Regions from separate parts of the Mus musculus genome. Here all the other regions are reported to be linked to region 1. Evidence: microRNA targets listed by miRTarBase, many of them from high-throughput screens and not tested one by one. Region 1 holds a microRNA gene; each other region holds the end of a gene's coding sequence. Distances are from middle to middle.

Region 1 (4,069 bases):
ATGAATATACATATACATACACACCCATATATACACGCATTCATATGAACACATCAACACACACGCAGGAATGGTATTCATCGATTTATTTTATTGATATGTGATTTAGAGCTTTAGAAATTATGTAGTACTGGGCCAATGAAACTTTTTACTCACCAGATATAAACGATTGGTATAGTCAGAAAGATCTGGAGTTCAAATTCATGCTTAACTTCATAATGAGTTAGAGATCAGCCTGGTATTCCTGGGATGTACCCCGTGTATGTGCATGGGTGTATAGTTTTGTGTGCATTTGCCTGTTTGTATATGAATATACATATCCATACATACAATCATATACAGGCACACAAAGACACACAGACATGAATGGCACTCAGTGATTCATTTGAATGATATGTCACCTCAAGTTTTGGAGGTTATGCAGTACTTGGCCTGAGAGGGGTCTCAGTCAGCAGGTGATAATGTTTACCAGAGTCAGTAGGCCCAGGGCCTGGCAAACGCAGAAGTGGATGCTCACAGTCAGCTATTGGATGGATCACAGAGCCCACATTGGAGGAGCTAGAGAAAGTACCCAAGGAGCTGAGGGGATCTGCAACCCTATAGGTGGAACAACAATATGAACTAACCAGTACGCCCCGGAGCTTGTATCTCTAGCTGCATATGTATCAGAAGATGGCCTAGTCGGCCATCAGTGGAAAGAGAGGCCCATTGGTCGTGCAAACTTTATATGCCTCAGTACAGGGGAACGCCAGGTCCAAGAAGTGGGAGTGGGTGGGTAGGGGAGTTGGGGGGGGAAGGGTATGGGGGACTTTTGGGATAACACTGGAAATGTAAATGAAGAAAATACCTAATAATAAAAGAGTTCAATTTTATCCTTAACTTCACGATGAGTTAGAGAGGAGCCTGAGATTTTTGTGATGATCCCGTGATGTATGTGTGTATATTAATATACATATACATAAACTCATACATACACATACATGTGACACCCACATATGAATGGCACTCATCGATCCATTGGAATTATTTGTGACTTAGAGCTTTAGAGATTATGTAGTACTTGGCCACTGAAAGTTTTGATTCACCAGGTAAAAACCCTTGCCAGAGTCATCAGTATCTGGAGTTCAAATTCATGTTTAACTTCATGAAGAATTTGGGATCAGCCTGGATTCATGTGATGTCTCCCCTTGAATGTGCATATGTGTATACATAAGTGTGTTCATGTGTATATGTGTATATGAATATACATATACATACACACAAACATACATGCATGCATGGACACACACACACATGAATGGCACTCATTGATCCATTTGTATGATATATAATTTAGAGCTTTAAATATTATGTAGTACTGGGTCAGTAATAGTCTCACTCATAAGGTAAAAACACTTGCCAGAGTCAGGTGAAGAGAGAGTTCAAATACAAAATTTACTTCATGAAGAGATAGAAATCAGACTGGGATGTTTCTTATGTATGTGCATGTGTGCATATATGTATGTGTGCATGTTAATATATGCATATAAATATACACATATAAACTAACCAACACAACATGCACACACACAGAGACACACACAAATACACACACACACACACAAACTCAAAATTGATACTCATCTATCCATTTGAATGATATGTAACTTAATGTTTTAGAGCTATGTATAAATGGGTCAAGGAGAAGTCTCACTCACTAGGTGAAACACTTGCCAGAGTCAGGAGGATCAGGAGTTCAAATTCATGCTTAATTTCACAACGATTTAGAGATCAGTATGCAATTGATGTGATGCACACCAAGAATGTGCATGTGTTAGAGTTGTGTGCATATTCACTTCTCTATATGAATATGCATATACACACATGCACACACAGTAATGCCACTCATATATCCTTTGAAATGATATGTGCCATAGAGCTTTAGCGCTTATGCGGTAGTGATCCAGAGCTATGTCTCAGTTAGGAGGTGAAACGCTTGCCAGAGTCTGGAGGATCTGGAGTTCAAATTCATGTTTAACTTCATGATGAGTTAGAGTTCATCATGCGATTCATGTGATGCCCAACAAGAATGTGCATGTGTGTATAGCTGTGTGCATATTCACTTCTCTATATGAATATGCACATACACGCAAGCACACACAGGAATGGCACTCATATATCCTTTTGAATGGTATGTGACTTAGAACTTTAGAGCTTATGCAGTACTGATCAAGAGCTATGTCTCAGTTAGGAGGTTAAGTACTCTTGCCAGAGTCAGGAGGATGAGGAGTTCAAATTCATATTAAATTCATGATGAGGTAGCAATCAGTCTGGGATTCATGTGATGTCCCCCGTTTATGTGCATGTGTGCAGAAGTGTATGCATGTACATGTGTTTATGTGAATATACATATACATACACACATATACACACACATGCAAACATACATGTAGGAATGGTACTCATCGATGCATTTTAATGATATGTGACTTAGACCTTTGGAGATTATGTATGACAGGGCCAGTGTCAATTCTCACACACCTGGTGAAAACCCTTGTTAGAGTCAGGAGGTATAGGAGTTGAAAATCATGCTTAACTTCATGAGGAGTAAGAGATCATCCTGGATTCATGTGATGCCCCCTATATATGTGCATGTGTGTATACTTGTGTGTGCATGTATATGTGTCTATATGAATATACATATACATACACACCCATATACACACGCATGCACGGAAACACAAAAACATAAACATAAACACAGGAATGGCACTCATTGATCCATTTGAATGATATGTGACTTAGAGTCTTATAGATTATGCAGTAGTGTGTCAATGAACGGTCTCACTCACCAGGTGAAAGTTGTTGACAGAGTCAGGAGGATCAGGAGTTCATATTCATGCTCAATTTCAGTTAGTGATCATCCAGACATTCATGTTATGCCCCTCATGTATGTGCATGTGTGTTTACGTGTGTGTGCATGTGCATGTGTGTATATGAATATATGTATACATACACACACACATACACACGCACGCAACACACACACACACACACACACACGACACTCATTTATTCATTTGAATGATATGTGACTTAGAGTTTTAGAGATTATGTAGTACTGGGCCAGTGAGTGCTCTCACTCACAAGGTGGAAATCTTGCCAGAGTCAGGAGGATCAGGAGTCGAAATTCATTCTCAACTTCATGTTGAGTCCGGGATCAGCTTCTGATTCATGTGATGCCCCCAGTGTATGTGCCTGTGTGTATATGTATGTGTGCATGTGCATGTGTGTATATGAGTATACATATACATACGCACATACCCATACAAGCATGCACACAAACCCAAAACTGCCACTCATCGATCTATTTGAATGATATGTGTCTTAGAGTCTTAGAGATTCTGTATGACTGGGCCAGGGAGAGGATTCACTCACCAAGTAAAGACCCTTGCCAGAGTCAAGATAATCAGGAGTTCAAGGTCATGGTAAAGGCATGATGAGTTAGAGGTCATCCTGGCATTCATGTGATTGCCCCTATGTATGTGTGTATGTGTTGATGTGTGTGTACATGTACATGTGTGAATATGATATACATACATGCACACATAAGACACATATGAGCACATAGACACACAGGAATGGCACTCACTCATCAATCTATGTGACTGAGAGCTTTGGAGATTATGTGTGACTAGGTCAGGGAGAGTTATCACCCATCATATTAAAAATGCTTGTTAGAATCAGGAGGTCAGGAGGTCAAATTCATGCTTTATTTCATGATGACTTAGAAATCTGCCTGGGATTCATGTGATGCCCCCATGTATGTGTACATGCGTGTACCTGTGTGTGGATTGTGTATATGAATATACATATCTACACACGCATAGACATGTACACAGACACACAAACATGAATGCAACTCATCGATCCATTTGAATGACGTGTGACTAAGAGTTTTAAGATTCTGCAGTACTGAATAGGGAGAGGTCTCACTCAGCAGGTGAAATCCCTTGCCAGAGTCAGGTGGTCCTGGAGTACAAATTCATGTTTAACTTCATGATGAGTTAGAGTTCAGCATGCGACTCAT
Region 2 (4,069 bases), not on the chromosome of region 1:
CAGCAAGTTCTTCCTGCGCTTCCCAGCTCAGAGATGTTCATGTGCGCAAACCCTTTGCCCAGCACCTACAGTGCTGAGAGCAGAAGCAGGCTGCACCGAGCTGCAGCCCAGCCTGGGAGCAGCTGAGCAGCTGTGAGACAGTTCTCAAGCTGAACTTGCCATTGGAAATGTGGGATGTATCCTTCCTACTGCTTCTGAACACCTCAGAAACAGAGGGCTAAGAACTGCATGCAATACAAACTACATGCACACACAATCAAAAATGTCATTCCAGTCTCAGATACCATGCCAAAGCGCTCTCAGTAATAGTGACCAGTCGTTTACTACAGAATGTGTTGTCACTTGAGGAGCCTTGTTCTGCTGAGAAGAGTACGCCGAGGTGCATCTGATTGTAACAGAGTGTTTTGTCTCTGGTCCCTCCTAGCATTACAACACCTCCCTGCTAGCCGCAGCTGCAGCGGCGGTCTCAGATGACCAGGACCTCCTGCACTCCTCCCGGTTTTTCCCGTATACCTCCTCGCAGATGTTTCTCGACCAGCTAAGTGCAGGAGGGAGCACATCTCTGCCAGCCACCAACGGAAGCAGTAGCGGCAGCAACAGCAGCCTTGTGTCTTCCAACAGTCTGAGAGAGAGCCATGGCCATGGTGTGGCCAGCAGGAGCAGCGCAGACACAGCGTCCATCTTTGGCATCATACCAGACATTATCTCATTGGACTGACGCTCTCACCCTGCTGCTCCCACCCCATCCCAGATTAAATGACTTGGCAGAAGAGAACTCTATGCTCTGTTTTACCTTATCCTGTTTAGAAAAGTATACAAGCGTGGTTTTTTTTTTCCTTTTTTTTAGGGAAAAAAAAATTAAAAGAAATGTACAGAGAACAAAACTATATTTTCAGTTTTACTTTTGTATATAAATCTAAGACTGCCTGTCTGATAAAACACTTGTTTAAAAAAAAAAAAAAGAAAAAAGAAAAAGAAAAAACAAGCACCCACAAACCTTCAGTTCATTTTTTCTGGATTCTGAAGACTTCACCATTTGTCCTGTGGTTTGGGTTTTATTTTACTTCAATGGCATTATCTTTCTTGCAATAACGGAAACAATTGCATGTATGAGGTTTAAATTGTGGGCTTTGTTGTGGGGATGGGTTTGGGATAGCTTTGATTTCCATTTTTTAAAAGTGACAGACTTGGATTCTGTTTGTGTGTGCGTAGATTTTACCAGCCTTAAGTTATGAGCCTCGTCTATCTTACTGCATACCCTTTGTTTTCAAGACAGAGCTTGTGTGCGTGAGTGCGTGCGCGCGTGCGCGCAAGAGCGCCTGTGTACCTGTATGTGCTGTTCTGTCGTCACTCGCCCCTCCTCCTCAGTTTGCATTTGGTTATTATCACTCTTGTGTGAGCATCTTTCTCAACTCTCCCTAGGTGCATGTTCTCCATCCCAGATCCTCTGTGATCTGCTGTCTACCCTCTACGAGTGTGTTTCCCAGAAGTGCTGGAGCAAACGCTGCTTGGATGCGCAGTCTGTGGGCAGGCCCTCGAATGACAATACACTTCTGTTGATTCTAAGTCTGAATTGCCAGTATTCTGTATGTAATCCAAGGCTGTGAGCACTTGCATTTTGGCAACAGGGTAACAAGTTTTCCTTGAGGATCTTCATACCAAAATGGGATGTGAAAGAACCCCCGTAGCCCCGTGGGGTGTGGAGCTGGCAGAGGTCGTTCCGTTCCACCGAAAGAAAAGAAGGAAGGAAGGAAGGAAAGAAAGAATCGGTTATCCTAAAGTTAACAGTACAGCACAGCCCACATGTGGATCCATACCAAATCTATCTGATAAATAGTTGAAACTCAAAAATAACCTTAGTTATTTTGGTTTTCTGTCTCCGAGTATACTTCCTTTCTTAGCCGTGTTCTTTTTTCCTTCACCTTTAGTGAAAGCATGACATAGGAAGCCTTTTTTTTTTTAAATTCAAGAACCAATTGGTCTCACCTACTCTCAATAGCAGAATATGTAAATATATTAAAATTTGTTTCAGGAGGTGATTAAGGGTCAAAGGAAGGAAAAAATACTTCTCATACTTGAGAGTCCGCAGAGAAGAAAGCATGCTCTGACAGTGGGAGATAGATGGCAACTGATGGAGGATGCAGGTGTAACTGCAGAGAGCCAGGGCACACCATCACCAGCTCCTGCACTGGCTTTTATGTCCCACCTTCATGTTTTCAGAGTTGTGGAAGGACCATCTTTGTGTGTGGTAAACTTGTTTTCAAGCCTTGCATCCATAACAGAAGGACCGGTAGGTATTAATCCAGGTAGAAGTCATGATGACTGTGTCTTCAGTTGTATAATAAAGGAAGTGGTTCACATGACAGCGTGGCATCTAAAAATAATATCTATTTTATAGTCTCTCTGCTACTAAAATGTCGACTTGAATTTTTGAAAAAAGTTGGTGTTGATATGTATATGTGTGTGTGTGTGTATATATATATGTATTTATAAACAAGTGCGTGTGAGTAACATCATCGTCTTCCCCTACGCATGTGTGTTCCACACAGAAACGGCTGTGTTAGAGTCACAAAACAATTCGCAATAAAACAAGACATTTGTTATCAGTTAAAACCAGAAATAGTTATGTTTTTAAATTCATCTGGTGTTATGAATACAGGTTCTACCATCTCTCATTACTGTATTAATTTAGACTCACTTCAGATAACCATAATTTGTCTAAATTGGGATTATAGTGGAAATCACTGAAATTTTGAGGTGTTTCTATTAACATAGCAATAGGAAACATTATTTTAACTGAGGTAAAATGAATAGTTTTCTTTGTTCTTGGTTTTGTTTGGGTGTTTTTGGTTTGGTTTGGTCTGGTTTTGGTTACTGTTAGTAGTTTTAGGATACTGATGCATAGTTTTTTGTGTCTGATGCTGAATTACAAACTTAAAATAATCCAGTTTAAACCAGCTCTCTGCATTCTTCATGCCAGCTATAGAGGGGTCACTTTCCTTCGGTGTCCTGCCTTGTACCAGCCTAAGGGGAGAGCCGGTAACTGGAGGAATAGATGCCCTGTGGCTTTGGTCATGTCCCCACGGGAGAACAAGCCGTTTGGTTGTCTGTATGTTTTAGTTCCTTCCATTTACTGAGGAGTTCACTTCTTCAGTGTTGACGTTCTAAAATGTTGCATGTGGTCAAGTTCAGTCAGAGACTTTCACAACCCTGAATAATTATTAGAGCCACACACCACTTTATCTCCTGCATTAAAAGAAAAAGCGCATGGTCACTTTGTCCCGTTGTTGTCGTTTTTCCTTAGGCCGACCTCACTCCCCAGCCCTGCCAACCTTGATTAATAGGCTGTGGACAGATAATGTTCTCAGCATCTTTGATTCAGCAAGCTGCCAGGAGCTCCTTCCTTAGTCTCTCCCTCTGGCATGTGTTCTCTACAGTATCGTGTGTGTGCTCCCGTCTTTCTGTAAGCACACACCATCAATAAAGTAGCCATTCAGCCAGGAGGGTAGAGGTGGCTTTTAATTTACCATGTGGGCATTACTGGACACATTTTTTTAAATATGAAACTTAACCATGCATACTTTGTTGAGTATTGAAGTTGTTCCACTGCTAATTTAGATGTTACACATCTACATTACTGACTTCAAGAATCACTAAAGGTTTGAAAAATGTGGGTTCTTTTGGTGGCGGTGGTGGTGGTGGTATATTTTTTTTGTCGTTGTTGCTTTTTGTTTTATTCTTTTTTTCAGCCAATTTTCCTTTTGAGACAAGTCTGTGAAACCGAATGAAAATATGCCCTAATTGTAAATGAATAAATGTAGAAAGAACCTAGTTTTTAAAGCAGTTTCAATTTTAAATACATGAAACTTTCAGAATCTTCAGGACTCTTAAAGCACATTTGAATTTATTTTGGTAAGAATTTTGTTTTGTGGATACACGTTGAATTCTGTTTTTTTTTTAATTAAACACAAAGTGTAGCTTTCAAGGAGGGAGGGAGAGTAGCCGGTGGTCCCAGAGCGTGCTGCTGCTGTTTTATTAACATAGGGGAAGATGTATATAAATAGATAAA
Region 3 (4,069 bases), 2.5 Mb from region 1:
GTAATGAGTTAATGTTTTTACACAGGGTCCATTTTCTAGTGGATGAGGGCTATGAAGATCGGATTCTCATGGCACATGACATACACACAAAGCATCGGTTGATGAAGTACGGAGGTCACGGCTACTCACACATCCTTACCAACATTGTTCCTAAGATGCTCCTTAGAGGTCTGACTGAGAGGGTGCTTGACAAGATACTCATAGAAAACCCTAAACAATGGCTGACTTTTAAATAGGATGGCTGTTCACGAACCCAGACCTGGAGGATACAATGAGCAGAGAATAGTTGGTGATTTCAAATCTACTGGAGACATTAATCCAGTCTACATAGAACTGGTGAATGGTCACTTCTCTCCTATGAGAAGCTGGATAACTACCACAGGGACATCTCTGGTGGGGGCCACAGGGCTCAAGTGAGTCCCATTGTCTTTCCTTAATAAAATAAATATTGATAAAAGAGCATGTTTCCAAACAGTAGTTTAAAACTATATCCCCTAAGAATCATTTTGGATGTCTTCCCCAACCCTGACTCTGTGATCTGCACTACTTGAGAAAAATGAAAGTGTTTCTAGCTAAGTTGCCCCTTCTGGAGCAACCTAATGTTTCTTGTAATATTGATGATCCTACTAATTATCCTGCTGTTCTTTAATTAATGCTTAATGAATAATATGGCATTTTAAAATCACTTTTGCAACAAGGGAAGTTAAATTTTGAGACATTTTTTCCCAAAGGAGACTGCAATAAAATTACCAATTCACAACAATAAAGAAATTTCGAAGGTTACCTATGTGTTTTCCACTTATTTATGTAAACAAAATATATCATTTTTTTTCTGACTTTGGCTTTCTGGTCTCCATTTTTACTGTTAACTATGTTGTGTTTTTGAAAATCTATCAAAGAACATATAACAATAGTGAATTATAAAAAATGCAATTATAAAAGTAAAAATATATTACATAATATAGTTTAATGAATCATTACAGTTATTATAACAAAGGCCACAATTTAATTAATTCATGTTATAATGCAAAGAAAAAGAGAAATGCTTGCCTTATATATAGTCCTTTTATTTCATGTACCTTTTATTTCTTTTTTTCTCCGGCCTAAACAGAGAAAATAATGCTTACTTATCTAAAGAAAAGGTCAGGTCTATTGGAAATGACAGTCTGTTTGTAAACACTACTCTTTAGAAGAGATCCAGCCATGAAGTTCTTTTCTAATAAAGCCTTTTCAAAATGTTAGTTAAAATGCTTAATTGATGAACACTGTTGTTTATAAGTTAATCCTTTGAATCCTCGTTATGTGATTTGGTACCCAAGACAAATCTTTAATCCCTTGCTTGCAATCCATAAGTATATGCTGTTAAATAGAAGTTAAAAGTGTAGCAATTCATTGGTGAATTACCTTACATATTAGAAGGGCCAAATCGAATTAGTCACTATTCTTGATGAATGATCTAAGTGTTTTTATCATATAAATCACGACAGTTACTCAGACCAAGGCATTTAAATACAGCAAACACCACCTTTAGATGGGAACACCATGCATAACTCTTGGAAAAGTCAAGGTTTGCTAAACTAAAGCTATTTCTGTTGATCATAGCTGATCAAGCTCTCTGTATATTAGAACAGAAAGTACCAAAGTTGAGTGAGCCAAAAGAACAGCCCAGTTCCTTTAAAGGTTAAAATGCAAATGTCCTTCCCCAGTAAACCAAGCAGAGTTTTAAATCTCTGGCTTTGAAATCTACTTGTCAAAGAATGTTTAAAGGCAACTGAAAGGGGAACAGATTTTCCACTGTAAGAGGGGGAATTGTGTGTGAGTAGGACATGTTCGTATGCATTTTGATCTTCCCCTTACACCAAAGAGATGGCTCTTGGCAGTGTGTTGTAACTAGCGAGAATGGGTTCGCACTACACTATCAGCTTCAATCCAACAGAAAGAAAAAAATAATTGGCTGCTCAAATGTGTATGTTTCATTACCATTGTAAGAGAGAGCTACTTGCTTCCTAAAGTCCTGTAATAGTCGTCTGCCAAAGAATGCAGATGAAGTATGGATTGCATGTGGAACACAGTTACCATGGGATCAACTAGGTCTCATGTGTGACATAGGGCACTGGAATCTACTGTGATTTGACTTTCTGAATAACTCTTAAAGAGAAGTCACCTTTATTATTTTGCTACTCTATGTATTGGTATCATCTAAAATATATTTTGATCTAAAATAAGTCGAATAATTTGTGCATGGTTCTGTGTGTATACATATATACTTTTTAAATTCATTTTTGAGCTGTACAGCCACTGTGCTTAGTGGACTGAAGCCATATATATATATAATATTTTCATCTAACATATATGTATATAAATAAGTGTGTGGCAGATATTTATATAAAATATATACACTTTGTTGTCATGTCGGTTCTATGTGAAACTGTTAATTTTGAAATAACCTCAGGCTACAGATTTGTGGTAACTGTTTGAAGGCCTTACTTAGTGTCCCCTTGGTGACGCATGCAGTAGCTCAAGTTAAACTTTTGTGCCTTAGGTTATGAACGATCTTTTGTTCCAAAGAAGGCAAAAGCCTCCATCTGACTTCATACCAAAGAATAAATTTCTCTGACTGTTCAAGAGAGTCTAAATGTATTCTATTGGAGAAATGGACACACAGGTTTTTTTTTCTAAATACCGTACATAATTATACATTTTCACACTTAGAGGGGAATCCTATGATACAATTTCAATCTCTATTTAAAAAAAAAAAGATAGAGACCATCACCAGAAAAGAGAGAGAAAAGAAAATTCACATGAAAAGAAAAAAAATGTGAAAATGATCACAGGCTTGGGAATTCCACAAATCCAGAAAATTCCAGGTTAAGGCTTCAAGTTGAATCATTCCCAGGTCTAGCTCTAAAGATAACCAGAGTACAAGGCAAACAGTATCTTTGGGGACAAGCAGCATTACTTCAATTAGACCTTCTCCTGCAGGGAAAAATGACTCCTCCCTATACTACAAATAGACTCCAAGTAGCTTAATAATAAGCAGGTAAACTCACAAGAACCAAAGCTGACACGTGAATAAAGCAGCAAGATCACAGGACACCAAAGTATCATAGATATTGAAGAAATAACTCAGTGTCTTAGATTTTTCTATAAAAATTTGTGGTCTATATAGGACTTCATTCACATGGACACTAACAATAAGGAGTATTTGCTTTGGCGGTAGTGGATCACACATCTGCTTATCTTGCGTTAAATACTTTTTTTTTACATAATGTGTCTGAGTGATACAGATGTGAGTCAGGTAGCATTTGATCTCCCCACATTTACACAACTGAGATGCCCAGCAATGGGCATCCCCTGGGATCCTTGATTCACTGACGTTAGCCATACGAATCCAGCGTTCAAACTCAGAACAGCAAGCTCAGTCTCTGCATTATCAGTCAGCATAAATAATAAATCCAGAGAATGTGCTGTATTTGTTGTTGTTTCCTCCGTGGGCTTTCCCACCATCTAATTTGATATAGACTTCATCTCCTGGTTCCAGGTGAAGGACCACACTGTTACTGGCATAGTCGTAATTCTGATCAGCATCTTGAGCAATTGCACTAGCACGCACCTATGTGAAACAGACAAGAGTTAGTTTGTAAATAGAGAATCCTTAAGTTGCCCCTTTTACATAATAGCAGACTTGCAGCCATAGCATACAATGTAGCACACTGATGTTGCTGTTGGTCCCATAGGTTTAGAAGGAATTTCCATAACAACTTCAACTATGTTACTGGAAAGAGAAAAGAGAAAAAAAATGTTGCTTTAATAAGGGACATTGCTGCCATCCTTTCTATCCTTGTAAATAAAGCATGCCAATCTAATTTTCTCTTCAATTGCTGCTTTTTCTGATTCCTCGAATCTCCACATCCAGTCACATTTTGAAATGGAAATAGCAGTATTGTTTTGCATTTTAATTTAAATCAAATAACAGCATCCCGACTAACTGTGTACTTCAATGGGTCATCCTAATTATTAGAAATCTCATATCTCGAGTGGTAAAAGACCTAGAGAAAATAAAGAAAGA

What was found. The annotated mature microRNA mmu-miR-466f-3p reads CAUACACACACACAUACACAC and lies in region 1 at 2,991-3,011, shown strand. An mRNA with a match to its seed (bases 2 to 7 or 8) in the 3' UTR can be bound and repressed. Matches are read on the target gene's strand: a 7mer-m8 pairs with bases 2 to 8, a 7mer-A1 pairs with bases 2 to 7 and ends in A, and an 8mer does both.
Region 2: the mRNA of Pias1 is a reported target of mmu-miR-466f-3p. Seed matches in the 3' UTR shown: 8mer at 2,469-2,476.
Region 3: the mRNA of Pter is a reported target of mmu-miR-466f-3p. Seed matches in the 3' UTR shown: 7mer-m8 at 1,964-1,970 and 8mer at 2,251-2,258.

What each region holds. Positions count from the first base shown.
Region 1 is chr2:10,469,017-10,473,085 of GRCm38, forward strand. It overlaps Mir466f-3 (microRNA 466f-3), which reads left to right and starts at 2,937; the gene lies at 2,937-3,030. All of the region lies in intron 10 of Sfmbt2 (Scm-like with four mbt domains 2), which reads left to right. It overlaps Mir669l (microRNA 669l), which reads left to right; the gene lies at 1-52. Mir669d-2 (microRNA 669d-2) reads left to right here and starts at 2,628; the gene lies at 2,628-2,713. It also overlaps Mir297a-2 and Mir466o.
Region 2 is chr9:62,878,617-62,882,685 of GRCm38, reverse strand. It overlaps Pias1 (protein inhibitor of activated STAT 1), which reads left to right. Exons shown (of 14, transcript NM_019663.3): 14 at 425-2,609. The coding sequence ends at 718. Among named protein-coding and RNA genes, the nearest start is that of Calml4, 23 kb to the right of the region's middle.
Region 3 is chr2:13,000,832-13,004,900 of GRCm38, forward strand. Pter (phosphotriesterase related) reads left to right here. Exons shown (of 6, transcript NM_001305437.1): 6 at 26-2,623. The coding sequence ends at 236. It overlaps C1ql3 (C1q-like 3), which reads right to left. Exons shown (of 2, transcript NM_153155.2): 2 at 1,056-3,613. The coding sequence ends at 3,434. Among named protein-coding and RNA genes, the nearest start is that of C1ql3, 8.0 kb to the right of the region's middle.